Linked DNA regions of Xenopus tropicalis. The protein of the gene in region 1 interacts with the protein of each later gene in a pairwise test. Links are inferred from orthologs where the notes say so. Each region holds a gene or a part of one and is shown in the gene's direction. Other genes may lie near its edges.

The links.
Region 2: the proteins of traf3ip1 (region 1) and smc2 interact in a two-hybrid assay, tested with the Homo sapiens proteins (2 studies listed by BioGRID and IntAct). The link is inferred for Xenopus tropicalis from reciprocal best matches to the Homo sapiens genes TRAF3IP1 and SMC2.
Region 3: the proteins of traf3ip1 (region 1) and kif5a interact in a two-hybrid assay, tested with the Homo sapiens proteins (2 studies listed by IntAct). The link is inferred for Xenopus tropicalis from reciprocal best matches to the Homo sapiens genes TRAF3IP1 and KIF5A.

Annotation. Positions count from the first base shown.
Region 1 is NC_030685.2:60,707,985-60,712,134, reverse strand, and holds the start of traf3ip1 (TRAF3-interacting protein 1), read left to right. Parts: upstream 1-1,335; 5' UTR 1,336-1,482; coding exon 1,483-1,605; intron 1,606-4,150.
Region 2 is NC_030677.2:107,826,266-107,829,310, reverse strand, and holds the end of smc2 (structural maintenance of chromosomes protein 2), read left to right. Parts: intron 1-251; coding exon 252-412; intron 413-539; coding exon 540-687; intron 688-1,859; coding exon 1,860-2,051; 3' UTR 2,052-2,528; downstream 2,529-3,045. UniProt on the Homo sapiens protein: Central component of the condensin complex, a complex required for conversion of interphase chromatin into mitotic-like condense chromosomes.
Region 3 is NC_030678.2:140,715,354-140,718,873, forward strand, and holds part of kif5a (kinesin heavy chain), read left to right. Parts: intron 1-1,998; coding exon 1,999-2,103; intron 2,104-2,572; coding exon 2,573-2,721; intron 2,722-3,119; coding exon 3,120-3,268; intron 3,269-3,459; coding exon 3,460-3,520. UniProt on the Homo sapiens protein: Microtubule-dependent motor required for slow axonal transport of neurofilament proteins (NFH, NFM and NFL). Can induce formation of neurite-like membrane protrusions in non-neuronal cells in a ZFYVE27-dependent manner.

The DNA of each region.
Region 1 (4,150 bases):
GCTGATACATTATATAGCTTTAAGAAAGGGTTGGATGGCTTTTTAGCAAGTGAGGGAATACAGGGTTATGGGAGATAGCTCTTAGTACAAGTTGATCCAGGGACTGGTCCGATTGCCATCTTGGAGTCAGGAAGGAATTTTTTCCCCTCTGCTGCAAATTAGAGAGGATTCAGATGGGGTTTTTGCCTTCCTCTGGATCAACTAGTAGTTAGGCAGGTTATATATAGGCATTATGGTTGAACATGATGGACATACTTCTTTTTTCAACCTAACTTACTATGTTACATTCTGTCTGAGGCACGACCAGTTGAACAATGGCAGACACAATGGCAAACACAGGGAGCATATGCCTGCCTTATGGTGATAGTTTTGTAAATACAGACTGGGTCTCACTGTATATAATGTGCCTGGGATGTCAGTACCCACTGCCTTTCTCACTATAAAACTAACTAAAACACATTTAAGCTAACTGATCCTAAACACAAATGGATGGAGAACCCCTCACAGAAGTGCATGTATGAATATTTTTATATCCTAAGCATGTTAGGGTGAAAATACACCCCCATCCGCACTTTTGCACAGTATCCCTGGAAGTCAGTGGGAACGGCAAGAGGTAGTTGGGGGTTCATTTTTTACATCAACAGCCAATCCACTAAGTTTCACATTAGCTGTAGGTCAGTCTATGCATGGCCCATCTTTAGCCTCCCCGAACAAAAAACTCACCCTCCGCCTATGCAGTAGAAAAGAAAATCATTTGCCAACTTAAATTCATTGAATCTCATGAATTTGCACTATTATAAAAAAGCCAACAGGCTTTGGGATATATGGCAATTCATAAATGTAGGAAGGGGATAATACCAATGACTGGAGATAGAAATACTGAATGTTGGCTTGCCAGAGAGAAATATAAAAAAATGTACCCAGATATAAACAAAACAAACGAAATAAATGGTAAATTATTTACGTGAAATTGAATAGTTTGCCATTTGGGTTACAAATGTGTGGGCCTCATATTACAGGGTAATGTAACTGATGGTACTGCACCTCATATGATTAAAGAAAGCACAAACGCAACACGTTCGCCCCCTGGCACAATACCCCTGGCATCCTTTAGTCAGTGCAGTACCCTTTATAGCTAAAGTGCAAATGAGTAGGACCCAGCTTTCTGTTTCCCAATGAGACCCTCAGCTTTCATTTCATTTAGTGAACGTTGCACCTCACACCTTACTAGTTTACGCAATGAGTTTGTATAGTGTGTTATGACCTAATAGAACCCCACCCCGCGCTCTGTTACTGTTGGTTCCCATGACAGCGGACGCTTAGTAACAGGAGAGGCGACGCATGCGCAGAGGTCAGAACGCAATGGCTTGTGGGTAAGATAGGGTTGCCTGGCGCTGAAGAGGGCTGTAGCCTGGCGCTTGTAGGGAAGTGGTGGCTGCAAGTTAGGGGAGCTGAGGGTCGTGTGTTTAGCTTGTCAGTGAGATGGACCCTGCGATTATTGGGCGCACTCAGGAAACCCTGGGGAAAGTGATTCGCAAACCTCCTCTTACCGAAAAACTACTGGGAAAACCTCCGTTCCGCTATCTGCATGATATCCTGACTGAGGTGAGCTCACGGGCTTCTGTTTCTTTTGGCAAGGGATGCTGGGAAATGTAGTTCTTGTACAAGTCAGGGCTGGAATTAGGGTAGAGCAGAGAGTACATTCTCACTGGGCCCTGGTAGTTCATGGGCACTTTGTAATAATTGTTCGATAATTTGCCTATACATTTTATAGATGTGCAACCTGCGGCCCTCCAGCTTCATGTAAACTGCAACTCTCAGCAATGTATTCCACCTTCAGCCAGAGAGTTGGGAGCAGCAGCTGATGGGCTACAGGTTGGGTATCACTGGGTATATGCTGCCCCAGCATGACTTACTGGGGGGGGGGGGGGGGGCACTATTTAGCAATATCTGCCACTTACTGACTGACTGCCATGCTGGAGATCTCTACTGTCTGTATCTCCATACCCCCTAGTTTGCCAGACTACCTACACTCTGTCTTTATGGGGTGATTAGGAAACCATATCTCTTGGATGTGTGAGATTTCAATGTCTAGGATTCCTTCCACATCGCTGGCTCTTTGGGTTGGACCAAAGTTGTAACATGCTGCATAATCTTCCCAAACCTACACTGTGTTGCTTTACATTTTATTCCTTTGTTCGGCTGATTTTATGGAAATATTGGTGCCTAAATTTAAAGAATTCATAGAAAAAATTACCCTGACATCGCCAAACGAGCAGATCTTATGGGGACTGCTCTCTAGCCAGGACCTCCGTACTGTGTGATATTTCTATCCCCACATGATAGCTTGAGAGGAGGCTAAAACACACAACTGTTTTACTTACATTACTTGACTGTCATAGAGTCTGTGCAATATTAATATCTCCAATAATATAAATGAAATAATTTGCAGTGGTGAAAAATCCAGGTCTCTGTGAAATACACATGAATCTTCTGTTTTAATGCAATGTGGCCGAGAAGTCCATGGTGGTGTGCAGAACATTTCTTGTCCTGTTTCCAGGCAAATTATGTGAATGCCCAGTAAAAGAGAAATCTGAAGTTAATTGGGCTGCATCTGACATTTCTAGGTCTGGGGAATTTAAAGGCTAATAAACCTTAGTGTGTGGCCTCCCATTCTATTTTCCATAATGTCTTTGTGCCAACACCCTTTCTGGTTGTAGGTTATAGCTTTTAGCATGTACTGCGTTGGGTAGTCTATGGCAGTGTATAGATGTCCTGTGGCACCTGCTTCATGCCTGGTTGCAGATAGACCCATATGCTTGTTTCTGTCCAGGCATAAACATGAGAATAAATCACAAACACAATCTGGGCGATTACACCGATTAATAGGTCAGTACCTTCTATCTAAGCAGTGGTGTTTTTTCTTTCTGTGTACACAAAAAGGAAAATCATAGGAATAAATCTCCCTTTTGGTTGCAGGGTATACAAGGAAGCATTTAAACAGCATATAAATATATAAATCTAACTAGGCATGCCCATTTGGTCAGTCTTGAGCTTTCAGCAGTTTGCTGTTCTGCACTGGTGGCCAAGTTGCCTTTAGATGTAATTGCACAATACAGGTATCGGACCCCTTATCCGGAAACCCGTTATCCAGAAAGCTTCGAATTACGGAAAGCCTGTCTCCCATAGACTCCATTTTAATCAAATAATTCAGAATTTTAAAACTGATTTCCTTTTTCTATGTGGAAATAAAACAGTACCTTGTAACTGATCCTAACTAAGATATATATAATCCTTATTGGATGCAAAACAATCCTATTGGGTTTAATTAATGTTTTATTGATTTTTTAGTAGACTTAAGGTATGGAGATCCAAATTACGGAAAGACCCCGTTATCCGGAATACCCTTGGTCCCGAGCATTCTGGATAATGGGTCCTATACCTGTATCACCTAGAACAGGAGCCATTTTGGAGAAACATATAATAATAGTACCAAGGTTTTGTACTGTAGGTATATGTGAGATAAACTGACGAGTAGCTATAAGAGCAAATCTAGAAAGGCAAGGTGCTGCTTTGTGCAGTCTTAATCACTTACTTAAAAATTACTTGCATGTAGCACCAGTGCCTAGTTCAGCCTGTTGCGATAAATTGCACACAATGCAACATACAGGGTACATGGATGCAAAGGAGCAGTCATGAGAGGGCTGGCCCAAAAACTTCTAAAGGTGGCCATACATGTATCAATTTTGATCTTTTGTGAGACCATTGGTCGCATGAAAGATCGTTCCCACCCTCCACTGACGTTCAGGGCTGAATCGTCAGATATGGAGGTTGAAACAATAGAAATTCTATCTCCACCTGAAGGCACCTGATCAAAATCTTTTAACCTGGCCGATCGACGAGTAGACCAATATCTGCAGCCTTTTGTAATATCGTTTGCTTCTTTGAGCAGCCATACACGCACCGAATATCGCACGAAACAAGGTTTCGTACAATATTATCGGTGCATGTATGGCCGGCTTAATGCCGCACCAATACACAGATCAATTGAAGAGATGTTATTCCTGGGTTTCCTTGGTTGTTGTGCCTATCTGTATAACTGACCACCTACAACCTAGTGAATAAAACCCTAAAGCCATTATTGTCTCCA
Region 2 (3,045 bases), on another chromosome or scaffold:
ATTTGGTTTGGAAAAAAGTGGCAGGGGGAAGGCAGTGGCTACAAGCGCAACCATATGAAGGTGCAAGGAGCCCATGTTCACACAAGTACCTTGAATGAGTGGGGTTTTTCTGCAGTTTTCTTCAACTGTGCAACTCATAAATAAACCCTTCTGTCTTTTGCATAAATGTTGGTTAGAGGGAAAGCTTACAGCTCCTAAAGTCATTTAATTATAGTTTATGATTGCTCATACACACTCTCTATCCATTTTAGGTGAATAAGGACTTTGGATCTATCTTCTCAACCCTGTTACCTGGGGCCAATGCTATGTTGGCACCTCCGGAAGGGCAGAGTGTGCTGGATGGGCTAGAGTTTAAGGTTGCTCTGGGCAACACATGGAAAGAAAATCTCACAGAACTGAGCGGAGGACAACGGTACCTATTCATATATAGTACCTAAAGCAAGCATTTTATCTTTAAGCTTTATGTAAGGCCTTGTAGTGATTTTCACAAATCTTTATATTCTTGGTTTCACTACAATTTATTGATATTCTCATTTCAGCTCATTGGTGGCATTGTCGCTCATTCTGGCAATGTTACTTTTCAAACCTGCCCCAATCTACATCTTAGATGAAGTTGATGCTGCCCTGGATCTTTCTCACACGCAGAACATTGGACAGATGCTTCGCACTCACTTCCGGCACTCTCAGGTAAGGGAGCAGGGGCAGCTATTAATGTAAACTGAGCTTAGTCACAGGACTGTTTAGTATGCTTTTACTTAAACCTACAGTGCACTGGAGTACAAGATAGTGTGTAATAGGGCATCAAGAGATGCTTTTCCTATAAGTTTAATGTTCATTATAAGTTTATAATTCCACCAACAAAGCATGCAGATAAGCTGTTCACCATAGTAATCCTTTGGGGGGGAATCTGTGGTCACCTGTTGTCCACCTTTTAGGGTGAAGAGACACAGACAGAGCTTTTTGTAGCCTTTTCAAGGCTACGAAAATAGACAATGCTGATCATTTACTTATAAGGCAATTCTCAGTATTGTCTATGGCAGGGTATATTCTGGTGTTTAGCTGCTACTAAGTAATTCTGTGTGTCTTCACCCTTAGGGTAAGCACCCACAGAGCGACTTACTTGCCCGCGATAGATTGCTGATATAGTGAGTGAGTAACTGCTCTGAAAAGAGTTTCCACAGGCAACAACAGAAGTCGCCAGTGGAAAGCCCTTCACATCGCTTTGGTTTCTGAAGTCGCGCAACTTTGGAAACTGAAGAGATGTGAAGGGCTTTGAGATGTTTTTCCTTTGAATAAAACAAACACTGCACCACTTTTTGTTATTTGATCCAGTTTTTCTAGTGCCAGCCTTGTTTCTCATTGTTTGAGGCAATCTGGTTTAGGGTAATGGCATGCCCATATTCAGTCACACAAACTGAGGGAGCTGATTGGTAGGATTAATAAGCTCTTGCTGAAATCACCTTAAAGGGAGACCACAACACACACAACTTGAAAAGAGGGACATCATCACCAACTGTGTGTGCAATGCTTAAAGGGAAAATATACCCCCCCCCCCCATTTTGATATAAGCTCATTTAGTTGGATTGATGTAAAAATGTGCCTAAACACATGAAAATCTGAATTTCCAGATATAAATGTAAATGTGTTCAGTACATTTATATTTATAACTAGAAGTTAGGTTAGTCTTTGTACACCTCTCTACAAAAGCCCAACTGTATGAGCTCATGTCAAAATGGGGGGGGGGTGGTACATTTTTCCCTTTAATTGCTCAAGTTACTATCACACCTAAAAATAAATGTACCTTTTAGGGTTTACATGTTTATTTGTCTTCATTTTAACACCTTTTCATCCATTCTCAGTTCATTGTGGTGTCACTGAAAGACGGTATGTTTAACAACGCCAACGTCCTCTTCAAGACAAAGTTTGTTGATGGGGTCTCAACAGTGGCTAGATTTGCCCAGAATCAGAATGGTAGCAGTTCTGCTGGGCAGCAGAGATCCGACAAGAGCAAAGCAAAGGAAAGAAGGAATCGCATGGACATTGATAACTGATTAAATTCTTCTATAAGAGACATTCATATTCCAGAAAAGGAAATGTGGAATATTATTGCCTATGCTTTTCTTGATGTTACGTTAGATCTTGGTATTTCTGCTGCATTTTAGCTACTTACTTATTTTCACCTCTCTTTGCTTTTCATTACATCTAGGAAGAGGCCAGATTACACCTGAAATATTTGTCTTGTGTATATTTATATAAATATGTTTGTGTTCTTTCAATGTGATATATATATATATATATATATATATATATATATATCTCTTCACTAGCTGGCTTATTGTATGCAGAAGCACAATATATATGCCATGTAGGCGCTCAGAAAAACTTACTACAAACACAAGTGTTTATGTTGCTATGAATGTACAGTACAACTGTATATACTGTGTGTACTGTCATTGTGTGCTTTCTTACTTCCCAGAGATTTCTGATTTCAAATTATACATTTTTATAAATAAACTTTTTCCCAATGAGCTGCATTGTTTATTGAAATTTTCTTAAAGCCTTGCAAAATTACAGACAAATTGCAGCATTAGGAAAATAGACCACTGACTTGTATAGGAAGAAGCAGCATGTATGTGTATCCCTTTAAATAGCCGCTTCTTCTGCTGGGGTTGGCAAGTAACACAAATTGTAGCTTTTCCAGTTTTCACCTAAGCAGTGCTTTTCTCATTTTTGTATAATTTTTTGTCTTAATTGTGTTGGATTGCCTTCTAGTTGAACTATTCATCCTCTGATAGCCACAGATTGCTTGGAGACAGGCATTTTTTAACCTCTGTAATTTTTTCAAGTAAATCGGATCCAATGAAACCTGATGAAAAGCACCCCAAGAGAAATTAGCTTAAGCCCTTGGGTTATAGGTTTACAGTGCAGAATATATAATAGGTGTGGTCTGACTCCATTGGGTGATCACCTTAGAAGGTGCAAGACATGAAAGGGCTGTATAAATGATTTATTGTGTTCTAATTGCCTGTCGGAGAGAGAGTGGTG
Region 3 (3,520 bases), on another chromosome or scaffold:
AGGTTGTGTACGAATGGAAGAAATTCAAGACCATTGTTACCCTACCCAGAAGTGGTCGACCATCTGAGATAACTGCAACTGCAAGGCGTCTAATAGTCTAAGAGGTTACAAAGGAACCCAGGGTAATTCTAAGCAACTGAAGGTCTGTCTCACATTAGTGAATGTTGATGTTTATGAGTCCACCATCAGGAGAATACTAACAGCAATGCTCTCCCCCCAAATTATGGCAGAATTTGGTAAAGATCATGTGGACAAACCAGAACCAGACATTTTGTGGATGAATGAAGCCAAAATACAACTTTTTGGCTTAAATAAGAAAGAAAAATGCTGCACTCAGCATTTGCTGCATCTGGGCCTGAACGGCTTGCCATCATTGATGGAACATTGTATTCTGAACTATACCAGAGAATTTTAAAGGAGAATGAAAGGTAAAAACTAAGTAAGCTTTATCAGAAAGGTCTATTTAAATATAGCCATAAGCACTCACAAAAACACTGCACTGAGTTCTCTGTCAAAAGACATGCAGCTCTCTCCTCTCTCCCCTCTCCTGCTCCCCCCTCCCTCAAGAATGCTAAGAACTCACTCCCCCCCTTAGGAATGTGGATCTGAGCCAATCAGCAGGAAGCTGACTCATAGTCTTACAAACTGCACATGTACACTTGGTCTGGGTCTCGGTGCAGGAGCGAGGCATTATGGGAACTTTCTTTACACAGCTCAGCGTTTTTTCTTCCTGTTTGGCTTCTGATCATCTGAACAGGTCAAATATGGGGAGACTTAAGGGCACTAATGAGACAACTGAAGGTATGCCTGCAGCTTGAGATTAACTCTTTATTAGCCTTTCCTTTTCCTTTAAAGGAAAAGGTCAAGGCATCTGTCTGTGAATCTGTGAAGACAATCCTAGACACACAAGTCATTCTACCAAAGAATGGTTTAACAATAAAGTGAATGTTTTAGAATGGCCAAGTCCTGACCTTAATCCAATTAAAATGTTATGGAAAGATCTAAAGAGAGCGGTTCATGTGAGGAAACCCACCAACATCCAAGTGTTGAAGCTGTGCTGTATGGAGGAATGGGCTAACATTCCTTAGAGCCGATGTGCAGGACTGATCAGCAGTTACCACAAACATTTAGTTGCAGTTAGTGCTGCCAACAGCACAGATACTGATACAGATACAATCCACTTACTTGTGGCACGTGCAGATATGTTATTGGATCATTTTTTTTCAAAAAAAATACATGACCAAATATAATATTTGTTTAACTAGGTTTTCTTCATCTACTTTTAGATATTTTAGGTCACATTCATATAAAAATATAGAACATTTTTAAAGGTTTCGCAAACACAAACTTTTAAGCACTACTAACCAGGTAAACATTGAAACTAGGAGTCCAGTTCAGGTTTGGTCCATAATATTTTTGCTTGATAGTGTATTTATCAGACATGGAAGTGTCTTGCTAGAGTCAGTAATGTTAGCTGCTACATATTAGCTTCAGGGGGTTGTATTTCCTCTTGTAAAGGAAAAATAAATAAAATGACCATCACTAACGCCATTTCTGCAGTTTAAAAAAAATGAAAACTGAATATTAGTTGCTGTGCGATTTTCTGATATAGAATTCTGCCTCTATTAGTATCGGTGCCTCTGCTGTAATGTTGTGCAAAGATTTGCTAGAGGGCACTACAAGGCTGGCAAACGATGATGCCTTTGTATGTATGTATGTATAACTTTATTTATAAAGCGCTACTTACAGTATGTACGCAGCGCTGTACAGTAGAATACATTAATACAAACAGGGGTATTAAAATAGATAAATACAAAGTATTATATTACAATAAGCACAAGTGCTAAAAATGGTGAATGTCCCCCAAATAGTAATGAGGGTGCACAGCTTTGTCTGTAGAAAATATTGGGGTTTGATTAGGTAACAGAGATAAAGAAAATTATCCCTGTATTATTAACTTATCTGCAATTATATGAGAAAACACTTACATCTTTTCAGGTCAGTAAGACTGGAGCTGAAGGTTCAGTTTTGGATGAAGCCAAGAATATCAACAAATCTCTGTCTGCTCTGGGAAATGTGATTTCTGCCCTGGCTGAAGGATCGGTAAGGGAGACCTGTGTTTAGTAAATGTCACTGAAGTCCATTTGATCTTTGGGTATAAAACCCCTAAATAACTTAATCATTTGTATAAAAAGAGTAAGTGTTTTATAGTATGATTCACCTAGCAATTATCCATTCTGCGCAGTTTCAATATACTAAGTTACACAGGTATATTTTAGAGAGAAAAAGTCCCTCAGAATAGACTGTAATTCTAGAGACTGAGGTGCCCCAGTGCCTTCCAGTTGGGGGCTATCCAGTTTCAAGTGTCCCGTGAATGCAGCCAGAGTCAGCTATTGGTTAGGGCAGAAAAGGAATTTATGGTGGGATTACACCAGAGGAGACAAGTCGCAGTTGTATACTGGTTGTAATTTTTAGTATATATATCAGTGGTGTCTGACTACATTTCTGTTGGCGTATTATATATAGTAATTCATAATATGTCCATTTATAGTTATTTACCTTTGTATTTTAGAAAGGTTATGTGCCCTATAGAGACAGCAAGATGACTCGAATTCTTCAGGACTCATTGGGTGGAAACTGCAGGACAACAATGTTCATCTGCTGCTCTCCATCCAGCTACAATGATGCAGAGACTAAGTCAACGCTGATGTTTGGACAGCGGTAATTTTTCAGTGGGGGTTATTAGGAACACAAAACTGAAATGGTTATAAAAACTGGAGGAATCATGGAAAGGAATAAATGCCTATTGGGAGTGGAACAAGAAGGTTGGCATCAGCACACATTAGGCATATGGCAGTTATACCTGGCAACTCATGGTCTATGGCCAGTTTCTGAGAGTTTAAAAAATTCAGAGCTGATTCCTCTGCTTTGACTTTAAGGGATTCTTGTATAGATTGGGAACTTTGACCAGTGTAGATGTAGGTCAACAGAACAGAGCCAATACAACTTTAGACAAACCAATACAACACTACTTATTATGGATTCTTAATTTGTGGTGTCCAAAAGGGTTACTATGAGTGATGTCTTCATTTAATTCCTAACCCTAAACTGTTGTTTAGGGCTAAGACGATTAAGAACACTGCATCTGTCAACCTGGAGCTGACTGCTGAGCAGTGGAAGAAGAAGTATGAGAAGGAAAAGGAGAAGAACAAGACTCTGAAGGAGACTATCCAGAAGCTGGAGGCTGAGCTCAGTCGCTGGAGGAATGGTAAATTTTAGTTTCTTGAAAATGTAACACAAACCCATCACTAAGCAAATGCCAGTTTATGTTTTAGATGCTATAAATGATCATTTTCGTATGGTGAGGAGTCTATGTTTTGTCCTGAATTTTTGTAAGAAAAATAGAATTAATCCTACTACTCGCTTCATTTTATTGATATTTTGATATTTCAAATTTAGGGGAAAATGTACCTGAAACCGAGCAGCTGAGTGACGGGGAGCAGCTCACCCAAGATACTGC